Linked DNA regions of Mytilus edulis. The protein of the gene in region 1 purifies or fractionates together with the protein of each later gene. This does not show direct contact. Links are inferred from orthologs where the notes say so. Each region holds a gene or a part of one and is shown on either strand. Other genes may lie near its edges.

The links. Proteins that work in one complex are often made in the same cells at the same time.
Region 2: the proteins of protein WWC2-like (region 1) and merlin-like purify together in Drosophila melanogaster (affinity purification with western blotting; 3 studies listed by BioGRID). This does not show direct contact. The link is inferred for Mytilus edulis from reciprocal best matches to the Drosophila melanogaster genes kibra and Mer.

What each region holds. Positions count from the first base shown.
Region 1 is NC_092351.1:26,011,802-26,019,662, forward strand, and holds the start of protein WWC2-like, read right to left. Parts: upstream 3,024-7,861; 5' UTR 2,942-3,023; coding exon 2,811-2,941; intron 1-2,810. UniProt on the Drosophila melanogaster protein: Regulator of the Hippo/SWH (Sav/Wts/Hpo) signaling pathway, a signaling pathway that plays a pivotal role in organ size control and tumor suppression by restricting proliferation and promoting apoptosis.
Region 2 is NC_092349.1:5,679,641-5,686,795, reverse strand, and holds the start of merlin-like, read left to right. Parts: upstream 1-4,134; 5' UTR 4,135-4,313; coding exon 4,314-4,421; intron 4,422-6,623; coding exon 6,624-6,752; intron 6,753-7,155. Other genes in the region: replication protein A 70 kDa DNA-binding subunit-like, read right to left, coding at 696-777, 1,459-1,506, 3,971-4,003. UniProt on the Drosophila melanogaster protein: Regulator of the Hippo/SWH (Sav/Wts/Hpo) signaling pathway, a signaling pathway that plays a pivotal role in organ size control and tumor suppression by restricting proliferation and promoting apoptosis.

The sequences.
Region 1 (7,861 bases):
CCAAAGGCTATTTATAATACAGTTATGAATGGAATAAACACAACATAAGTATAGGGTTATATCAAACTATGTCAGTATTAAAAGGGACATGTATTTAATCACAGGATATTTCTATAATCAGATTGCAACAATTTTAATGTTACATTTAACATGTTTAATTACAAAATGAACATGTGCATTTGATGTGTATTGAAATTCAATCAATACTAAAGAAAATGAATTTTATTAAAACATGATGGTGACTTCAAGAATTTGTGTAGCAGAAATAGATACATTGTATCAAAGATGAAAAAAAGCAATTCCAGCCTTAAATTAAGATACAATGTACACTGTGGCAACAAATACAATTTTTTGCATGTAGTTTTAATGGATTTGGGTTTGAACTGCGGTCATTGTACTAGGTTAAGACCCATATTGATAACCTTCAGTATTAGCCTACAAAATCAGTACAATAACTTGACTGCCAGTCTGCCACAGATCTAGACATGAAGATACATTTAAACAAAATTGTTACATCATACAAAATTTTGCAAACAAGTAAATTGCCAAATAGATTCTGCAAAAAGTTTAAATAAAGATTTTTAGTATTGTCACTTTAAACCTTTCAAAAAAGTCTCCTTCCTCCTGGAACTTACTTCTTTTTACTATACAGAATTCGCTTAATGTCCAGTTGCAAATATTTTATGCATGCTCAGGACAAGAAAAAATAACAATATATATAATAGGTAGGTACTGTGATGGTGGCCTTATAACGAGATGAGGGTCTGGGAATAGGACTGCCATGTACACTGGAAAATGGGGGTATCTTGGCTATGGACATAAGTTTAGCTTTAATTGATAACAAACCATTTCTGATCCCTCAATATAGACTTGGTGATCAATATCTAACTTAATGTACAATGTGTAATTGTGAAAACTAGAGCATGAGATTCCTTCTATTGTATTAAAGAGACATTCATGTCCAACTAAGGACCCTTACATTGTGTATGTTTAGTTATATATAGCACAGTTTTAATATCTTAACAAAAGGAGTACTTTCTTGGTGCAGCTAATGGAGAGCTTTTACTTATCTACTAGATTAAGGGAAGCACCACATTTCCCAAACCATAAAAAGTCTTTGACATAAACCATTATGACAACTTGTAATTTCAATTTTCAAACACCAGCTACATATATGTATGTATATAATATGTAATCTTTAAATTTCTTTTAATCAATGTGTCTTTTAATTTCAAGTTGCAGTTCCAAATGACACTACAGAGCATGAGATTCTTTCCAAAAATAGCAGAGAATGGAACCAATGACATCTGGGGTAGACTAAAGGGGCTAATAATTACATTAATATGTACATGTACAAAAATTCAATACCTGGCTTTAACAGTTACAGTAGTTATTCTGGAGGAAATGTTCTTCTATTAAATATATTCAACTTGTGTACAAAAATATACATTTGTACAGATTCACAACCGATCATAACCTTTGATCTCTAACCTTCAGTCCTTGAAATTGATTTGGTCAATGGTTACAATTTACATTTGTACATCCCATTAAAAGTTAACCATATACATTATGCATACAAAGTTATATGAACTTCAATTAAGCAAAAGGAATGGATAACTGCATGGTCACAGTTTGGACATTTGACCATGAAATATCAATATGAGTCAAGGTGTTAAATAATGTCAAAATGTTTGGTCTGTAGTGTTTTCAAAAGGAGTTGATCACCCAGATAAAATGACAACCACACACTGCAGACCCACAATTCCAATGTTATAATCATATATTTTCATCTGCATCTCACCTAAGAAAGGATTATAAAAAATGTGACAAAAACCTCCTTTTGAAATCCTCCAACATTTGTATTTTGCTTATTTTGTCAACCATGAGGGTTCAAAATTCAAGTCTTTTGGAGATTCTCAGATCTAGCATGTCTAGAGGACCATGAGTCTACAAGCGATCAGGTTATGTTAGCTAAAAGTTCTCCTGATTTCAAATACATCTTTTTATTTCCACTTCGATTGTCAAATGCATACATCTACAATGTATGGTGGCCTGCATATGAATTTACAAAATGTATGTACATTATGTATAATCCACTACATTCTTTAATTAATGGAATGGTTATACCCGGCATTGGTGTGTATGTACATGTATGAGGGTAGGAATGCCCTTTACTGGCAAATTGGTTAAATTTCACTGAGATTCTTCAACGATCTTATCATGTTTCATTAGAGGTCTCAAATAATTATCGTTAATGTTATATATTTGGAAAAAAAAATAACCTGAATCGTCAAAATCAGTCGATATATTTTTTATCGTCATAAAGAAAGTTCACATTTTTTCGTCATGCACCAAAAATTACCTTAACATCATGATCATTTGACAAGGATTTATACTGTTATTCATCATAAAGGTACCCCCTTAATGGCCCTCATGTATACATTTGACACAGAAAAATGAATAATTGTAAGATCTGACAAGTAGTTCATTCCTGGAAGTATAACATACTAACTGGATATACTGGCATCATTAAGGTGTGATAACTGGGCAATAATTCACCAACCTAAAATGCAGAAGTGACCTAAGAAAATATTTTTAAATTCTAGTTTCTACAGAGTTACTTCCCCTGAAAACATGAACTATCGAACACATGCCAACAAACTACAGAAGTACAGCTGTTCTCGTCGTATTATGCATGTCACCGTACACTTTCTACGGATAAAATCTAGTATGCTAGCTATCGTTTGATCGTTTTGCAGTCTAGGAAGTGTTCATAATAAATAAAAACTTCCAAAACTTAAACTGCTTACCTGTCTCGCGGGTCAATCCAGCTAGTTTGATGTGTATTATGGTCTATAAAGAAAACTTTGCCGTCAAAATCACGGCATTCTTCCCAACCTTCTGGAAGAGGGATCTCTCCCCCACTCCGTCTCTTGGGCATATTTCATTGACAAAACATAAATAAATCCCTATCATCACAAGTCCTCCATGTTTCTCTCCCATATCTCATTAGCATATCTGACGTCACAAACAAATAATTTCAATGACAATTCAACCAATGAGGAACAATCTTTTTATGAAAGGAATGTGTTACAATTTGATAACACAATGTGAATCAATTACATTATTAAAGACGTGAATTAAGTATTTAAAGGTGAATATGATATTTTTTTAAACACAAATTTCCATTTTAAATCACAGTGAGTCTACTGACTGCATGTCATATTTAGACATATTTCCTGATAAGTGCTAATTTGTAAAATTCTTCCCATTTTATAAAATTCCTACCATTGAAAAATAATAACAACAGTTTTTTATCATCAATTTAATAAGGTACGTAGTTATCACTAAAAGTATACGTGCAAGATTGTATTTCAAATGCAGTGGCCTCAATTAAATTTCACCATAGGTATATGTACACTCAAAATTGAAAAGATCAAAGCGAACCACAAAAAATTAGCTTGACTTAAATAAGAGAAAATCATACACTTAGAGCGGCACGATTGTTTAATTTAATTACTTATCATCATCATTTATTGATAATTTACATCAATTAATCGTTTATTTATAAAACAGAGCTGCCTAATGCACTTTTTTTTAAAATACCGAGATATTTTTCAAAGCCTCTCAATTCATTAATGCTTGTCATTTCGCTGTTAATAGGGACTCCGGCCTGAAGTATGTCCAAGCTGAGACAACTATTATAATCTCAGGTCCTAAGTGAACAGAAATTTGGATGATTTTATGGTGAAAACAAACGAATGTCTAACAAAAGGGGGATACACCCTCTACTCCCCAGAATTCGAAACTGATCTTGGTAAATTTACCAATAAATAAAGTCCTAAAAGGCTCATAAATATTTGTTCCTTATATTACTGGCAAATGCATTCGACACCGAAACAAACCCAGGCCCTCGTTCACCTAGGTGGCCTTGCGGAAGTTGTAGTAAGGCAGTGACATGGAAACATCATGCTGTCTGCTGCGACTCCTGTGAAACTTGGTACCACATCGATTGCCAAGGAATACCAAACCAAATATACAACATAATGAATAATAGTAATATAAGTTGGCACTGTATACAATGTGGTATGCCAAATTTTAGCTCAAGCTTCTTTAACTTTACAACCTTAGAAACATCAAATATATATGACAGCTTATATAAATTCACCAAGCAGTCTTAGAGATGTAGGAAGTCCAGGTGCACCAACAGCTGCATCATCTCCAATTCCACACAAACTTCCCTGTCATGAAAAAGCTTATACAACAACAAAAAAGAGCAAAATGCCATTAAATTCTAAACATGAATTTTCAATCAATTAAAAACAAAAAACCGGACCTACTAGAAATTATTGATACTGTCAAACCAGATATCATACTAGGTACCGAAACATGGTTAGAACCAAACACCTCTTCTTACGAGCACTTTCCATCAGATTTATATAATGTGTATCGCAATGACAGGGCACCAAGTACCAACAACCAAAGCTATGGGGGTGTACTTATAGCAATTACAAAAGAATTCATAAGTTCAGAGGTAAAAGAACTAGAAACTGAATGTGAAGTAGTCTGGGCAGAAATCAATATCGCTTGCTGAAAAACATCTTAATATCATCCTACTACAGACCACCATCTGACACAGGATTGTCTCTAGAGCAACTCCATCAATCTCTAAATCGTATCAATAGTCAATCAAATGCAACCATCTTTGTGGGGGTGATTTTAACTTGGGACATATTGATTGGTCAACATCAAGCACAATACCATGCAAACCTGACATACAACTTCACCAAAATCTCTAAGATATAATGAATGACACAAACCTACATCAAGTTGTCAATACACCAACAAGAAATGACCGTATACTAGATCTCATAATGATTAACAACCCAACATACATCAACAAAGTAACCACACTACCACCAATAGGTTCAAGCGACCATGATATTGTTTATGCCGAAGCAGACATCTGGCTTAAGAAAATAAGAGAAACCCCACAAAAAGTATACAAGTATAACAAAGCCAACTGGGACGAAATTAAACTTGACATATGTATCATCTACAAAACAATCATTGACAACTATGATTCTCTTAACGCCAATGAGCTATGGGAACTATTTAAAACCAAACTCATCAGCTCTGTCGAAAAACATATTCCATCAAAGATCCTACGAAACAAACACCGATTACCGTGGATATCTGATAAATTTTAAAAGACGTCAAATTAACAAGAAAAACAAACTTTTCAAAAGGCAAAAAAAAACAGGGAATACACTGAGAAATATAAAAAAAGATGAAAGCTCAGGTACAAAAAGAACAAAGGAAGGCCTACTGGGAATATATTGAAAAACTCATATGTGATCTTCCCATCAATGAACCAGACATTCAAATACAAAATCAGAGCAAACCTAAAAAAAACTTTTTCAATACATCAAATCAATAAAAACTGAAGGATCGAAAAGCTCTTAAATAAGATCAACCCACATAAAGCCACCGGCCCAGATAACATCAGTGGACGCTTACTGAAAGAAATGCAGACAGAAATAGCACCAATTCTATGCTTAATTTTTAACAAATCCTACAACACTGGTATTTCACCTAACGACTGGAAACACGCTAGAGTCGCACCAGCATATAAAAAGGGGGATAAGCATAAACCGGTCACTTATAGACCTATCTCATTAACTTGTATTTGCTGCAAGTTAATGGAACACATAGTAACATCACATATTATGAAACATCTCATATCAAATAACATCTTGTACAACCTTCAACATGGCTTTCGGCGCTCTCGATCTTGTGAGACACAACTTCTCTCCTTCATCCAAGAACTTCAATCCACAAACAACTCAAATACTCAAACAGACCTTGTAATAATGGACTTTGCGAAGGTCTTTGATAAAGTACCGCATCGTCACTTACTATACAAATTACAATATTTTGGTATTAATGGAAACACTTTAAACTGGATCTCTGCATTTCTCTCCGATCGAACACAGACAGTTGTTCTGGGTGGAAGATCATCAAGCACAGTCCCAGTCACCTCTGGGGTTCCACAAGGTACTGTCTTAGGTCCGTCTTATTCTTAGCGTATATCAACGACCTTCCAGACATCCTTACACATAGCAAACTAAGATTATTTGCTGATGACAGTATCATATACATGCCAGTTAAATCCCAGAGTGACTGCCTAAAATTGCAAGCTGACCTTGACGCAGCTGCAAAATGGGAAGAGGACTGGATAATGGCCTTCCACCCAGACAAGTGTAATGTTCTCTCTGTCACAACTAAACGTCAACCTCTACAACATAATAACACTCTTCACAATCATACTTTAGAAACTGTTACATCTGCTAAATACTTAGGCATCACATTACAATCAAACCTTAAATGGGACAAACACATAGATGACAATATATCGAAAGCCAACAAAACTCTCGGCTTCCTTCGAAGAAACCTGAAAACAGCAAATCAAAACATCCAGAGCCAGGCATACCAAGCACTTGTCCGTCCCAAACTCGAATACTCTTGCTCAGTTTGGGACCCCCACACTTCAGAATCTATCTCGAAGATAGAGATGATCCAAAGGAGAGCTTCTCGGTATGCCTGCAACAGGTATCATAATACTAGCAGTGTATCAAACATGCTGAACACACTAAACTGGCCCATTTTAACACAACGCAGACTGCGTGCACGCCTGGTTATGATGTACAAGATCACACATCCTCTTGTTGCTATACTATCTAGCACAATTCTCATCCCATCAGACTCAAGAACCAGAAAACATCATTTTCACACCTTCAGACACATTTATACATCAAAAGACTCGTACAGATTTTCATTTTTTCCCATATACAATAACTCAATGGAATCTTTTACCAACCGCAGTAGTAAATGCACAGACAGTCGACTCTTTCAAAGATCAGCTTACATATGCTGTTCTCTTCACTATCTTTTAAAAATCTTCATTTATTCAGATGGAAAACTGGAAAACTTGAAGAAGAAGAAGAAGAAGAAGAAGAAGAAGAAGAAGAAGAAGAAGAAGAAGAAGAAGAAGAAGAAGAAAGAAGAAGAAGAAGAAGAAGAAGAAGAAGAAGAAGAAGAAGAAGAAGAAGAAGAAGAAGAAGAAGAAGAAGAAGAAGAAGAAGAAGAAGAAGAAGAAGAAGAAGAAGAAGAAGAAGCGAGCTCAGACTCTCTGAAAATCACACCAAATGTATTAGGAAAAATTGTAAGTTATATTGGCCAGCAAAGATTGGACAAAAAGAACTGATGACCACCAAAACAAATAAAAGGAGATTAGATGGCTAGGGCACACTTTAAGAAAAGACAAGAATAACATCACCAAAAACATCAGAACGTAGACGAACAAGAGAAAGACCAAAACGACAATTGACATTGAAATTAAAAGCATAGGAAAGACCTTACTGAGTTCCGAATGGAAAGGATTGCAATGGAGATAACTGGTATATATCATCCTTATATTCCAACCGACACGAAGAGGATTAGTTATAGTTATTTAAAAGGAAAAATAAACATAAAATCCAGTAATTCGAACACTTACACATTAAAATTTTTAGATTTTAGATAGCGGCCGAGTGTGTAAAATATAGGATTAAGATTCTAACTATAAGTAGAGGAAACACACAAAACTACAACCAATATTTCTATTCGGAAAAAAAAGTAGACTTTACCATCTAGAAGAGGAGGTGGTCAGTGCCAAAGTTCAAGTCGACTAAGCGCATTCATGCACCAACGTTGTAAAATTACCTAATTGGTTTCTTCAACAGTGAGATTTATAACTTTTAAGAGGGACAGAGGATACCAAGGGGTCGATAGTATATCAGAAGAAACACGAAGAAAAGAC
Region 2 (7,155 bases), on another chromosome or scaffold:
TCTGACCAATTATACTCTATGTACAACTAAATGGAAAACTAAACATACATGTTTTAAACCATAAACAATCTCAATTAACAGATTATTCAAAATCTTTTTTTCTCTGGTGGTCCTTCAAAAAGATCTGTTGGTCCCCACTATTATTTCTATAGTGAAATACCAAAATAAAGTTTATCCTTTGTAAGATTTTGGTGGTCAAAACTTTTAGATAATTTTTTTAAAAATCTGAATTAAATTTCAGTTTTCTATAAATACTTTAGAAAGGCCTTCTTCATCTTCCTTTTAAACGAACTTAATTTAAATGATGAAATCATGAGGCCTAAATTAATATATTGTTTGTTTCCCCATTCCCGACCCTGCCGAGCCAGGTGTTGGTAGGTAGGTAGGAAAATAATTTTATTTTTCCAAAAAGGTTGAACAATATCGTACAATCCGGCAAGCCAGGATATTGGAAATGAAAATAATATTTGACTTAGTTTTGACAATAAAATTTTATGAGTAGCACTGTTTTTGCAGAGTCGGTCGGGATGGGGGAAACAAACAATATTTTATTTTAGGCTTGAACCTTTCAAACACTACCTTATACTTTGTACATACAACTTCTTCCAAACTAATTTTAACAAAGCCTTTTGAAATTGTACAAGATAAGAAAATAATTTTGTGATTTTACTCATATGCAATATACACATATTTACGTGAATAACTGTGAAGTCCATCTGATAGGAGGAGTCTGTATCTATCTGCACTGGATCCTGCTGCTGTTATTTTCTTTGAGCTCTGCAGAATAGAAATGTAATTGATGAGAAGAAATGAAATCAAAATTTCAAAAATATATTAAAGTATTTAATTTATGATAAGACTAAGCAGCTCCTGAAAATCTGATTTACTCATTTGTCAAAATTAGTTTTAGAGATAAAAGACCAAAATTTGTCATCATACTAATTTCATTTATATTTCAGACTTTTGTTCATCCCAAGACAAAAACACTAAAGTTAAGGAAAGTAAACCAATATTTTGATGCATCAAAATGAAGAAATCACATTACATAATGTCCTATTCACAAATACAAAATAAATTTTGTTACATTTTCTCAGCCAATTAAGGGGAGACAAGTCAGAAAATTTAATGTTAATATTTATTCTAATCTTCTTATAGAAGAAATGTATATTCATGGAAAATGTGTAATAGATTAACCTATTTGACTTCCTTTTTGTTTTCTCTGGTGGATAGTTGCATTGTATCATTGGTAATCTTACCACATCTCAATTTTTTTGTAGATTTATCTAATACCTGAATATAGAACATTTTAATACATAAGAAGAGAAGTTATCAGTTGGGTTTTTTCCCACTCCCCTTTTGTAAATAATAAGACTGAGATGAAAGGGGAATGTGTCAAAGTGACAACCCGACGAAAGAGCATAAAAAAGCCTGAGACCACTAGTGTGTCTTCATACTTACAATAATCTGCAAGACAGGTCTATCAAAATTGTTTCCACCAACTATAGCCTACAAAAAGAAAACACACAAGACTTTATAAGTTATAGCACAATAGGATTTACAATTGCACGAAGGAGCTTAAGTTTATTTTTTAAGTCATTAAGATATTCATCCAAAAGTTTTCACACTGAGGAATTTTATCCAACTTGGATTGCTTTATAGAAAACAGTAAAAAATATATTGAATGACCAAAAGGCGATAAATTTTTTTGAGACATTTATTTATCTAAGTATATAAGTTTTACAGATATTGGAGTGACTGGAGTCTATGCATCATCCATGGTATAGATGATATTGTAACAAACCTAGGGTTACTATAAACTGTTTAACCATCATTCAGGAGGAGTGGAATCGACGGCAGTGTGAAGAAACAGATTTGTAATAAACATAACAATGATATTTATTTCAACAGTTTTTTGACTTCTTCTTTCAATATAATAAACATCAAATACACATTCATCATTCAACAGATAAAGCAATAAATCGGGTGGTCAATATAAAAGGTAGTTGACGGTTCAAGAGATTGATTCAGAATGACATGTGTGTCTACAGGCTCCTATTTATGTCTTTTGGCACTTACTATGACGTTAGAGTAAACATCTAATCATCCAATCAAAAGCAACGTTTCTTACGTCTTTTGGCTAGTAACGTTTAGAAAGACAAACAGATTTCGTTATTCTTAGATAAAGAAACATTATTAAGTTGTCCTCACTTTGTCCTTCTTGTCCGAATTATGTTTAAAAGCAAATGAAACTAAAAGGACATTTCTACATAATGCTATTTTTAAACGGACAGTAAATTCCTTTCTCGGTACGGCGTATGAACTTGGGTGTAATTTACATAACCTTACGCATTAGATATAATGCTTAAATAAGATCAATGAAAACCCTGTTCTATCATAAATAAAGACAATGTTAATGAAAAGGGAGGCACAAACATAATAAATACGCAAATTATCTGCATTGACAAAGTGTTAACTTAAACAAATGATAATGTGAGATCGCAAAGTGAAAGTACAAAACGGTGTCGTGGCAGATGTAAACAAGTTGAATCTCACGACGATATTTGTCAAAATAAATCACTGTATGACGGTATAATCAAAGTATTTCATAGGTAAACATTACCAAGATATACATATAAAACTGACCCTTATCGCTTGCAAAGTACAAATAGTTTAAATCATGAGTATGAAAGTCAATGCATTTATCAGTGTTTGTGCACTCGAGAGAAGTTGACCACCCGGCAATATTCAAATAAATATATGTCATATACAATAAATAATACGTTAAATAATAACAATAATAAGTCCAGATTTGTCACAATATCAACAGGATGAGCCTATTTACTTTAGCCCCCAGCACCATCTGATAATACTAGAGGTCACTCAAAACTTTAAAAAAAAACAGTGTAAGACAACACATAGACTGTCTAAATACTTTTCAATTAAGAGCAAGTATAATATGTAGACAGATTAAAGGAAGATGTGGTATGAGTGCCTAGATACATTAATATATTGTTATGCAATGATAATTTAAAAAAAATAAATTTTGTCCTTAATATAAATGTGGATATGATGCCTGAAGTCTTATATTTTCGCAACTGCATGGAGAACACTTTTTATGCAGATGCTGATATACATTTATTATATCTTTTTTATGAAACTAAAACTGTTTCAATGGCTATGGTTATCAGGGTTTTAATGCTTAGTTTTAAATTTAAACCAAACTCCTGCTTTTTACCCCCTTGTTTTAACTACGGTACATGTATAGTACTGCTTTATTTGCTGATGTATTATGTGTAACTCTTTTAATTTTGATTAAATTAATATATTAATCTGTGAAATCTAAGTCGTTTTTTTTACATTTTTCATTTTGATATTGTTTTTGAAAAACAATGCCTTTTGATGTCTTACATTTTATAAATCTTCCGCATAAACTGTGATCCATTATAATCAGTCTTTCGAAATTGTATTCATAAATTATATTATTGTTAAAATTGAAACATTCATACTTGTTTTATTACAAAAAAATTACTTGTCTAAAATTAAAAAAAAAATAATGTGCACAACTTATTTTATCAACACAAAGTTGCGCTATTTTTTCTTCCCCGGGCGCTTTTATTTACCCGGACACATTTTAGTAGGACCCATTGGGATGAATGAAATACAGCAATTATGATAAAGAAGCTTGCATCAATTAAATCAAGGACATATATGTCACATACGACTCCACAGCACAGCTGGTGTAGGCACATGTGTATCCGACATCAAGAATGTTAAATCTGACTTAAACCTAAAGTACACATCTCACCTAACGGTTAACTCTAACCATAAAGAGAAGGGACTCCCTCATCGGCGGACATCGCTTATAAGATCTATATTAAATTATACATTGTAACTGAAAGAAGGACATGATAACATAAAGTTTAAACAGGGATTGTTGAATGGTTATTCGCCTCTTCAAAATTTGATTAACCTCAATAGCACCCGATGTTAGATCTGGTGCCATTCTGTGTTGTTTTTCTGTGAAAGTGCTGTGACTGCTTTCTGCTTTATTTGCTGATGATTGCTTATTCCCGCTAAATATATAGCTTACTACGCATGCGTCAATTGTACCTCTTTTTCCGGTTTTTTAAATGCAATCATCTAAGCGCTTTACAAGAACGGTATTAGCAGTGGCTTGTAAAGCATTTCAAACTTAAATGAAAAATGAAAACATTGAATAAATGTGAAAGATGAAGATGAAAGGGATCGGTTATTCGTTTTATGAGCACCATGTAAAAGTGTTAGATTAGTCGATAGACTTATTAAACGCCGCAATGCCTTTTGTTAATATGAAAAAGGCTGCTCAGGCCTCAGGTAGCTCAAAAAGTTTTGCTGTGAAAGTGACAACAATGGATGCAGAACTTGATTTCACGACTGTGGAGGTGAATATTTCGAGCATTACTGTGTGTTATTGATTGATAAATCGTCTCTGACATGATATTTTGTAAAACTACTAAATTAGTTAAGTAATAGGAAACACATATATATCACACTGAAGTCAAATCACACATAATTTTATTTAAAAATTAGTCATTTCGTACCCAGATAGATGTTATCTGGTGTGTTCGTTCACCTGTAGAGTCTTTCACCTTCTTTCAGTTTCTGCGATCTCTGAGGCAGAGTTGTCTCCGTAGTTATTACTGAAAATTACTACTAGTCAACAATGAGGTTGTGAGTTGAACCCGGCTGGTACGGGTGTACTTATTCCAATCTTAATGGACTAGGATTGTCAGTTTTCCAATTGAAAGTCAGCGGGTTTTTCCAGGCACCTCAGCTTCTTCATCCAATAAAAACTTGCCACCACAAAATAGCTCAAAAGCTGTGTTTAAAAGTGGAGTGGTGTTAAAACATCAAGAGTTAAATCTTTCAGTTTCTAGCAATCCTTCAATTATTGAATAGTGTGTTGCCATGAGTTCGTTCTCTCTACTTTTATTGTCGAGCCTTCGACTTAAGTCGAAAAAGCGAGACTAAGCGATCATACATTCCGTCGTCGTCGGCGTCGTCCACAAATATTCACTCTGTGGTTAAAGTTTTTGAAATTTTAATAACTTTCTTAAAATATCCTCGGTTGGTACCAAACTTGGACAGAAGCTTGTTTATGATCATAAGATAGTATCCAGAAGTAGATTTTGTAAAAATAAAATTCCATTTTTTCCGTATTTTACTTATAAATGGACTTAGTTTTTCTACAGGAAAATATTACATTCACTCTGTGGTTAAGGTTTTTAAATTTTTTTTAATAACTTTCTTGAACTATCCTCGGTTGGTACCAAACTTGGACAGAAGCTTGTTTATGATCATAAGATAGTATCCAGAAGTAAATTTTGTAAAAAAAATAAATCCATTTTTCCGAATTTAAATTTTAAATGGACTTAGATTTTCTGCCAGGAAACAACACATTCACTCTGTGGTTTTTAAAATTTTAATAACTTTCTTATACTCTTTTGGATTTGTACCAAACTTGGACAGAAGCTTGTTTATGATCAAAAGCTAGTATCAGGAATGAAATTTTGTAAATGACTAAATCTATATTTTCATATTTTACTTTTAAATGGACTTAGATTTGCTGCCAGGAAACAACACATTCACTCTGTGGTTAAACTTTTTAAAATTTTAATAACTTTCTTATACATGTACTATTTTGGATTTGTTCTTAACTTGGACAGACAGAAACTTGTTTATGATCAAAAGCTAGTATCTAGAAGGAAATTTTGTTTTCTTCCAGTTAACATTACATTCAGTCTGCAGTTAAAGATTTTAAACATTTATAAGATTCATAAACTATCCTGGATTTTTACAAAACTTGGACAGAAGCTTCTTACAATCAAAAGATAGTATCAACAGGAATATTTCATTGATTTATTTCCTCATTTTTGTTGAGCCTGAGATTAACAGAAAGAGTAGGCAAGACACTGGGTTCCGCGGAACCCTTACAAATTTTTTTAATATATTTATACTAATGGCATTCAAGTTTAAGAAACTTATTCAGATATTGGTGTGGTATAAATTCTTGAAATTCACTTAAACATGTAAACACATGGACATATTGAAGCATTGATTGTTCAATGACATGCTAATAATTCTGACCCGTTCTTGTAATACTTGTCATTGCCTTTTTGGTGGATTTATAATTAAAAAGATGTTTTAAAAAATATGTCACCTGTTTTTCTATTAATACATATTAAACTTAAAATATCTACAATTTCAAGATAAAATATCTTGATTTGTTACTTCTCTATATATTTGAAGGCCCCCTTGAAGGTTTTGTAGGAGTAAATGAGCCATTTTGAACATAAAACCCACTTCGACATTTTGAAAAGTTGGCTGATATGCTTAGCAAATGAGTTGGGAAATATATATGCATACTTTAAGAAGTTTAGTAGTGGCCTCAGGATCATCAACGTTCAAAAAAGTAAAATCAATAATAAATAGGAAACAAAGATTCTTCTTTATTTCAGAATTAAAAAAAACAAACAAGCATTGACAAAATATGAAAAAAAGATACCTTAAAGTAATATAAAATAAACTTTTAATCAATGTGTAAGTACATACTAGACATACATTAAGTTTTATTCTATTTTTAGCACAAGGCTACAGGCAAAGATTTATTTGAACTGGTGTGTAGAACAATTGGTCTGAGAGAAACATGGTACTTTGGTCTGCAGTATGTTGACACGAAAGGATATATAGCATGGCTCAAATTTGATAAAAAGGTATTTTAATTAGGGCCCTGCGGAATGGCGAATGCCCTATAGTGATCATTCTGTACGTCGGTCTGTCCATAACAAATTGTGTCCACTCTATGTCTAGACAACTGTTATGATTTCAAAGTTTATACTTGACATGTATATTATACAACACCAGAGGGTGTGTCATAATTTATGTACAACTTCGTAGGTCAAAGATCATCATCAAGGTCAAAATCATCGGTTTCAGTTGACAACCCCATGTTTAATGATAAAGATACACATTTTTTACCACACATTATTCACAGCGGGCCCACAGAGATGGCTTCCATCTCAATGATATCTAGTTTGTTTTTTTCAAATTTTATGCTCTGTATCATCAAGCTAATTTACTCAATACAAAAATTTGACCAACAAGATATATTTTTAA